Arabidopsis thaliana: one gene and its partner. The protein of the gene in region 1 purifies or fractionates together with the protein of each later gene. This does not show direct contact. Each region holds a gene or a part of one and is shown on either strand. Other genes may lie near its edges. The genes, in order: PDE320 and AT1G27695.

Evidence for each region.
Region 2: the proteins of PDE320 (region 1) and AT1G27695 purify together in Arabidopsis thaliana (affinity purification with western blotting, with the first as the bait; one study listed by BioGRID). This does not show direct contact.

Annotation. Positions count from the first base shown.
Region 1 is NC_003074.8:2,194,937-2,198,861, reverse strand, and holds the start of PDE320 (pigment defective 320), read left to right. Parts: upstream 1-2,280; 5' UTR 2,281-2,357; coding exon 2,358-2,641; intron 2,642-2,734; coding exon 2,735-2,999; intron 3,000-3,169; coding exon 3,170-3,524; coding exon of another isoform or gene 3,525-3,646; exon of another isoform or gene 3,647-3,838; coding exon 3,839-3,925. UniProt on the Arabidopsis thaliana protein: Involved in lipid transfer from the endoplasmic reticulum (ER) to plastids. Specifically binds phosphatidic acid (PtdOH).
Region 2 is NC_003070.9:9,636,778-9,640,702, reverse strand, and holds AT1G27695 (glycine-rich protein), read right to left. Parts: upstream 1,680-3,925; 5' UTR 1,581-1,679; intron 1,557-1,580; exon of another isoform or gene 1,496-1,556; 5' UTR 1,490-1,495; coding exon 1,450-1,489; intron 1,375-1,449; coding exon 1,330-1,374; intron 1,003-1,329; coding exon 970-1,002; intron 859-969; coding exon 701-858; 3' UTR 499-700; downstream 1-498. Other genes in the region: AT1G27700 (Syntaxin/t-SNARE family protein), read left to right, coding at 1-184, 284-309; AT1G27690 (lipase, putative (DUF620)), read right to left, coding at 2,396-2,944, 3,028-3,378, 3,621-3,925.

The DNA of each region.
Region 1 (3,925 bases):
TCAACTATCTGATTTTAGATAGTTTTGTGGTTACATGCACTGGATGCACACATGCATGACATGTAAACAAAAGATGCAACATTCTGACGAAATTTAATTCATCTCTAAGATTATAGTCTTATATATAGACCTAACATGGATAGATCTTTTTTTGGACAGAAGAATTCGGACCTGAAATTGTTTTTATTGAAATTAAGCTAAGTTATAAGAAAACTTAGGTATGTAAGTAAACTAAAATTTTAAAATTAATTTAAAAGATGAATTTTGAAGCTAAAATTACCCTCAGGGACGTGAACAATTTTTTTTTTTTTTTTCTCTCATCATATAAGCGAAGAGGAATGTAAAGTAAAAGGCCTATGAGTTAGGACATGTTCCGAAAAGGTAAAAAAAAAAAAACAAAGGTGAGAAGCTTCGGAGAAGGTAAGAATTTAGAAAGGTAACAAAGTGACTAAGCCTATATATAGAATGTTGATACTTAACCACCAAGCAGTGCTTTCAAGCTGTCTTAAAGTTTGGGACACAAAATACTAAAAAAAAAAGAGAGAGGCATATGTTTTAGTGAAACAAATATCTTCTTTCTTCTTGATTATAAGCATATATATCGAGCTCTGACTGATTCTTTCATTGCTTTTGTATCGATTCGTGCCTAGTAAAGCTTCTTCTTTCTAACATATATTCGTTTTTCTTTTCCAAAAGCTTTGTATAAAGATAGTGAGTTTTGGTTTCGATTATTTGGAGCATATCGCCCTATAATAATAAGAACGTACATGACTGATTATTTGGCAAACTTATGATTAGACACCTCCTCAACTTTCTCTAGTGAAGTAATAAATTATCCAAAAGGATTCATAGTAAATGTAATTAGTTCATAACAACAACATGAACGAGAGTAATTGATATAGACAACAGAAAAATCATATCCCATGTTTGGGTTTAACCTGGAGAACAATCTTCTCGCCTTCCAAGACACTTTTATTTGAAGAAAACGATTATCCTTATCTAAATATATACACACTTTTGGTTTAAGATTTGACCAATCATATGCGGACTAATTCTTCTACGATACTTATACAGGCATCACAATCAATCTTCTCATAAGGAACTTTATGCAAGCCCATGTGAAAATTATACTTACTAAATTTTTTTTTAAGGAGTAAGCTTCTTCCCTTTTTTCTGTGGAGACTCATTGATTATGCATTTCTTTGTTTGAGATTCATTTTGGAATAAGGTGAAGTAATGTAAAACCATAATTATTTAACTTTTTACAAGAAATATCCACTGTTTTTGTGTTTCTTTGATATATAACACAAACCAACGATTGATTTATCATTGTCGTATGCATTAATAAGGTACGTAGAGAAAAACACACATAATATTCAACTCGATAGACTTGACCAATGAGGATTATATTTATTGAAATCACATAGAAAACACGTACTACAGAGACGAAACCGGAAAAAACAAACAAATTTTCTTCCAAACTACTACGTACTCCAAGAGCTGAAGAGAAGAATAAGAAGGTGATGGAATCAGTCACGAGTCTCGTGGAACCTTTTGATGAAATCAGTGGATCTCCGGTTAATAGCTGGTTCAACGAGGTACCAATTATAGAAGTTGGCTTCACTATCTTCACCATACATCTCATCGTCCGTTCCTGCCTGGTTCGATCTCTGTCTCCGTCGCCACCACGCTTTGAAACTGCCGAAGAAGCTAAAGAAGAAACGCCACGAACCTCCCATTATGATGTTTTAGAGAGAGGGATGTATTTTGCGTGTGTATATATATCTAAAGATACAGAAGCATGTGAAGGAAGGTGTGTCTGATGGTTTAGGGTTCAAAACTCAAGGTCCTTTTATATATAAGCCTGACCAAGTTGGAATCCTAGAGGAACCATGCACGAAACACCCCCTACCAACCATTAAAAAAGAACTTTTCTCTTCTAAACATTTGTATATTATTCACAAAGAATAAAGATTAAAAAAGCATCGAGATATTATGTGTCGCTAGCTGCGGTTATTTTAATCATTACATAGACACTGGTAATTCCATAGCAAACATTGAATTTTAAGCTTTTGAGGCAAATGAATTGATATGAATTTCTAAAGTTCCTAGTTTCTTTGTTCCTACTCTTTTATTCAAACCGAATAATTCAATCCATAACCGGAATAAATCGATTCTTTTAACCGTTAGACGCCTTCTTTGTTCTTTAAGCCGGTTTAATTAAACGGGAAGCATTCTTCTTATGAAAACCAAAAACGGCAAGGTGTTTATCGAACAAATCCAGAGTAAGAGTGTGTTTGGTCATCTCCAGGTCAGCTGGGTGTAGAAATCGAGCGACGGCGGCGGAGACGACGGAGATGAACAGAATGAGATGGGTCGGAGAGGGAGACATCTGGGACCTCGATATGTCAACTCCGGTGACGCTCGAGGGCACCGCACGAGCTGTTCCTGACGATCCTCTTCCTCTAGGTCTCTCTAGAGGCACTCGTCTATCTCGCCCTAAGCAAGTTGAGTTCTTCCACCGCTTCATGGCCTCACCTCTCATCCCTTCCTTCTCCCCTATCCGTCCCAACACCGGAGATGGAGGCGGTGGTGGATTCTCTCTTCAAAGAGTCCTCACTCTTCCTTTCTCCAACAACTGGTATACCTCCCCAAATTCAAAAATCCTAACTTTTTTTTTTTCTGATACTTTCGGTGAAAGTTCGATAATTATTTTGTTTTTGTGAATCCCAAGGCTTGTGTCTCTTCTGGGCCAATTCGATGTTCAGAGATTCGTAACGGAGATAGATAAGACTAAAGCTTTTGGTCGAGGGTCTTCGTCTACAGTAGCTTCTCGTTTAAACACAATTGGCAAGCATTTGAAGGATAAATCTTTGTACGCATTGGGTTTTTGTTCTGAGTTTTTGTTATCACCAGATGATACTTTGCTTCTTAGCTATGATGCTTACAAAGGTGATCTCGATAAGAATCCTAGAGCTAAGGCTATCTTCAATCACGAGGCAATTTCTCTGTTACCCTCTTTTCAATTTCTTGACTCTGTTAATAATATTTCACTATTTGGTTGGCAATGTGATTCATTGTTGATTTGGATCATACCAATTGGTTGCTGAGGTAATGAAGTCCGCTACACTTTGTTCTGACTCACGTCTCTATTTTTTGTTGGTTTCAGTTTCCGCTTCACAATCTGACAGCAGAAGCGGTTTGGCCTGGACTTTTTGTGGATAAACATGGTGAATATTGGGATGTGCCACTCTCAATGGCTATTGATCTAGCATCTCTTCCTGCTGAATCTGGTCCAAGTTACCATTTATGTTTACACCATAACAGCGGATCACCCAAGAAGTTACATTCTGATACTATGGAAGTGCCTCCACCGTCACTGCTTCCTGGTTTGTCTCTGAAATCTGCAGTCTCTTATAGGACAAACATGGATCTCTGGAGGGGTACCACTCCAAAGCTCGAAACTTGCAAGCCCTATGATGTCTTCCTCAGTAGTCCTCATGTCGCAGTATCTGGGATTATCGGTATGATAAGTTTCTTCAACTTATTTCAGAAGCATTTTATTGTCAAGACTGAAAGTTTTGTGATTTCTCTAATAAGTTTTGTTCAACTCTTATCATTTGAGTTCTCCAATTCCAATATTTGATGTTACAGAACTAGTGATGGAAATGGGAATTTTTGGGATATTTTGGTTTCTTTCGACTATTGAATAGCTAATTTGTTTTCCTCTGATTGAAAATTTTATGTATGAGTGAGCCTTGAGCCTTCAGGTTTGGAAGCACGGGTCTTTTTTATGATCTTTTTGGTGCTGTTACTAAGAGTTTCATTAATCCCACAGGCTCTGTGATGACCGCAGCATTTGGTGAAAATTCAATCAGATCAAAATTTGAAAATGATTCTGAGGGTGTTGGAGGGTTCTCTCTTC
Region 2 (3,925 bases), on another chromosome or scaffold:
GATATGAATGGATGTTCAGAGAGGGGCAAGAGTTGTATGGAGTGTGAGGAGGACTGTTATGAAAAGCAGCTTCATGGTTGGTATGGAGCTCTACAGAGGCAACTCCAACGGTCTCAGTATCGAATGCGATATAGTAAATCGGTTCACGCTGCAATTTGGATTATTCTTTTAGTTTTTCTTATTGGTAAGATTTACTGAACTCTGAATCATTTATGTTTAGAACGCAAAGCTTACTGCATCACTTTTGAGTTTTGAGATAAATTGTTTTTTTTTCTGATTGCAGTGGTAGTTGCAGTGCATTCAATGTAGAAGAGAGGTTTGGAATAGCAAGGTTCGAGTTCATTCATCTTCTGTGTAACAGCGAAAGAGACGAATTTGGCAATCCACATTTTTACTGTACAGTAAATTCCAACTGTTTTTGGTTGTTTGTAATATAGAAATGCATTTTTTTGGTTCGATTATTTGAAACGGGTTTCATTGAGCAATCATTGTTTTCTTAGGCACCAATCCTATTAACCATTGTAGAATTATTTGGGACTAAACCCAAGATTGAAGTGGAACCTTCTAAAAATGACAATTCAGAATACAGAAATGCATTTCGTATTGGATTATTTGAAGTAACCGTTTCATTGAGAAATAAGAAAAGGTGTCAGAATTCTTTTACAATCAATCCGAGCAGAGTATTGAAGCACACGACTGCTTAAGTGGAGTTTTTGGACATGTTAGCCACCACCTCCTCCCGTTTATCGGCAGTCTCTAACTCGATGCCTTGAAATGTAAGTCTAGATGAACGATAGTGACTCCCAAACGCAGTCCCGAAACCCCACCCGAGGCCCAAACCCACCCCGCAACCGCCACCTTTGTCAAATACCAGACGCATAAGTTACGTAATTAGAATTTAGGAAAAACCTGCTCGGTGTGTATCTATGCGAGTGTGGGATATTTGAAGTAGAAGTTTGAAATGCTTACCAGCACCAACACCTAAGATGTTCATAGGCATTCCTGCATGAAAGCAACGGAAATCTCCAATTCAGTAGGTTTGCAAAATAGTATGAATCCATCAAAATGTAAGCGCAACTGATACTAGCTATGCGTTTAAGCAACCATTAGCTAGGAAAGAAGAAGCATTTGAGTAAAGATGATATGTAGGAGTTGATAATCTCTATAAGAGACATTAAGCAATATGATCACAAAACTAAACAAGCACAGCAGAGTGCATTGCACATCCCATAGCAACTAGCAAGAGAATTGTTCCAATAGAATTATCTTGTAATTCAGTCCAGATTTTGTTCAAGTAAAAGCAGAAAAAGAGAGAAGTTGAGAACGAACCTCCAAAACCCCATCCAACGCCAAATCCACAACCAACACCGAACCCTATGAATTCCAATAACTAAATTACGATTCCAATCAAAATTAAAAGGAGAAAACAATTGCGAATGGGGGCATTACCAAATCCAACACCGACTCCAGTGAAGTCAGAGAGCACCATAGTGATCTTCACAAGAAAAAAAAAGAAACCAATTTAGGAATCTATAAATTCAAATGAGCAGAAATTGCGAATCTGAATTACCCGATGATACCTTGTTTGTTGTTGGTAATCGGTGAATCTGGTAGATTGCTCTCTCTACCTCCCCCACTTAAAATCGCAAGCCCTGAAAGCAAGAGAAGAAAGGTGAAGACGATTTGTTTTAGAGACGTACCAAATTAATCGAACCGGTTTAACTAATGAACCGGGATTATTTTCAAAATGATTTTATGTAAAAGAATTTGGTCAACAGTGAACCGGCCTAATTCTTTTTCTCAAGGTCAACAACAGTCAACAGTAAAATAAAACGATCTAGTGAGCAAATGGATCAATCCATATGCAAAAATGCTCATGTCCCATTGAAATCCAACTCACAAATAGGATTTGGATGGTTGAGACAGACAAACAGATAAGTACTTATGGCCATTTTTTGGAGTAAACTAATGAGCAACGGTTTGAAATAGACAGTAGGAGGAGAAATAACATTTACTAGTTTGTGCTACAAAAGAAACTACACTCACACTATGAATTTATTGATATACAATACAAGGAAGATCGTATTCATCAGTTCCAATTGGTATGGATGACCAAGTAATATTTCTTTATACTATATGCTATTAGGTGAAATAGATGGGAGCTTCTATCATAGTATATGAAACAATATTATAAACTAAAAATTGGACTGACCTTACTAAGACTACACATTCCTAACATTATGCGGCAAAAAGAACGAACTTCTCCTGCTGTCTATTTACAACTTCAACGAAACTTCCTACAAGAATTTTAGCTTCGACAATAGCAAAAGTAAAATAACCGGTCTAGGGTTTGTTTTTGAATGAGTTATACACATTGATCTCCTGCTTCTTCACATCAACCATTTTTATGGCCGTGCAATGTCCTAATTTTGGGGCCTTGAGATAAGTCTTCAACGTGGGAATCAAATCTGAGTTCTGAAGGTGGAATGAAGCAATCTATAGACAAGCCAGGGACATTGAACGAGATTTCATCGATGACCCATGCTTCTTGCATTGTGGTCTTAGTGTTATGTCCTGATGACATATCTCCAAACCTTAAAAGCGTAGCCACGGATCTACCAGAGTGAGCTATCATGATACCTTCGACAGGTTTGTAGTCTTCTAGGTATGAGTTGATGGTCGTCTCCCAGTAAACCGCTTCGCCTCCATTGTTTTGGATTCGGGTTAGCTGGGAGTCTTCTAAGTGAACAAGCAGACCGGTTTTTTGGCTGAAGTAACCGAACAACGTATGTCTTATGGTCTCTGATGCCCCTTCGCTTCTAGCTTTGAGTGTTGCCGGGTCTGCACATAGCTTGAGAATGAAACAGTCTTCTCCATCGATCTTTTTTTCTCCTATGCACCTTGCATTTGCAAACATATACGCTGTGGTCCTCGGGTCAAGTCCCTGAAAGTTGACAACAGTAACAATTCAGTTATGCAAGCAAAGAAAAGTGTATGAGAAGGCTTCCTTGGGACAAGAGGCCTAACCTGCAGAGCACGTCGTAATGGTCTAACCGGTCCTTTTGCAGCATGAGGTCCAAGCCATGGTGTGTGTCTCCACACAAGCTTCCCGTCACAACCTGCAAGAACCTTGCTCCCACCAAGAACAAGCTCCATGTACCACATATCAGGATTCATATGCCACAACACAAATCCTCCAGACTCAACAGCTTTTGACGAATTATTCTTGCTCTTTGAACCTTTTGAGCCTGTCTCAAACTCTGAAGCCATCGTCCTGATTCTTCCCATAACATATCCATTTTGCACAGAACTATGAAGCTTTTGACCTCCTGATGCAGCCGTATACTGCTGAAGTATGTACTGAGCAGAGGAAGTCTCCTGAAAATTCAAGTATTAGTAAGAGTCATTAGACTTTACCCTCAACACATTAAAGCAGAGATAAAACTTGATAAATCTCAATTAATTGCGCAGTCTTTCTCCGTAATTAGTAGGCAACTAAAAGAAGATTCAGCTAAATTCAAGCTAGATTATGGCACAGAAGAGCTTAATTCAACATGATTAACTCCAAATCCCCAACACTGTCCTAATTTTGAGGAGACAACAGTGAATTAAGAGCTCACCATAGGTGTATTCTTGATACTGAGGTGTGGAAGGAGATCCAGAGCGCTAACGTGCACAGGACCTAAAGGTGCGCCAAGAACACCGAGGAGAAGCCTCAGATCCGTTCGTTTGAAATCCGAAGAGGACGATACTGACGGCGGAGCCACCGGAAGCTGACATTTCATCCAATTGTACCAACGTCTCTCGAACCTAGAGTAATCACCACTGCTTCCGGAGTCTTCAGCGTCTGGATCAGGACCTTCTATAACCGGAGCAAGCATCTCAGACATGTGCCGGTCCGGTTGTGTGACGTAACGGCCTTTCC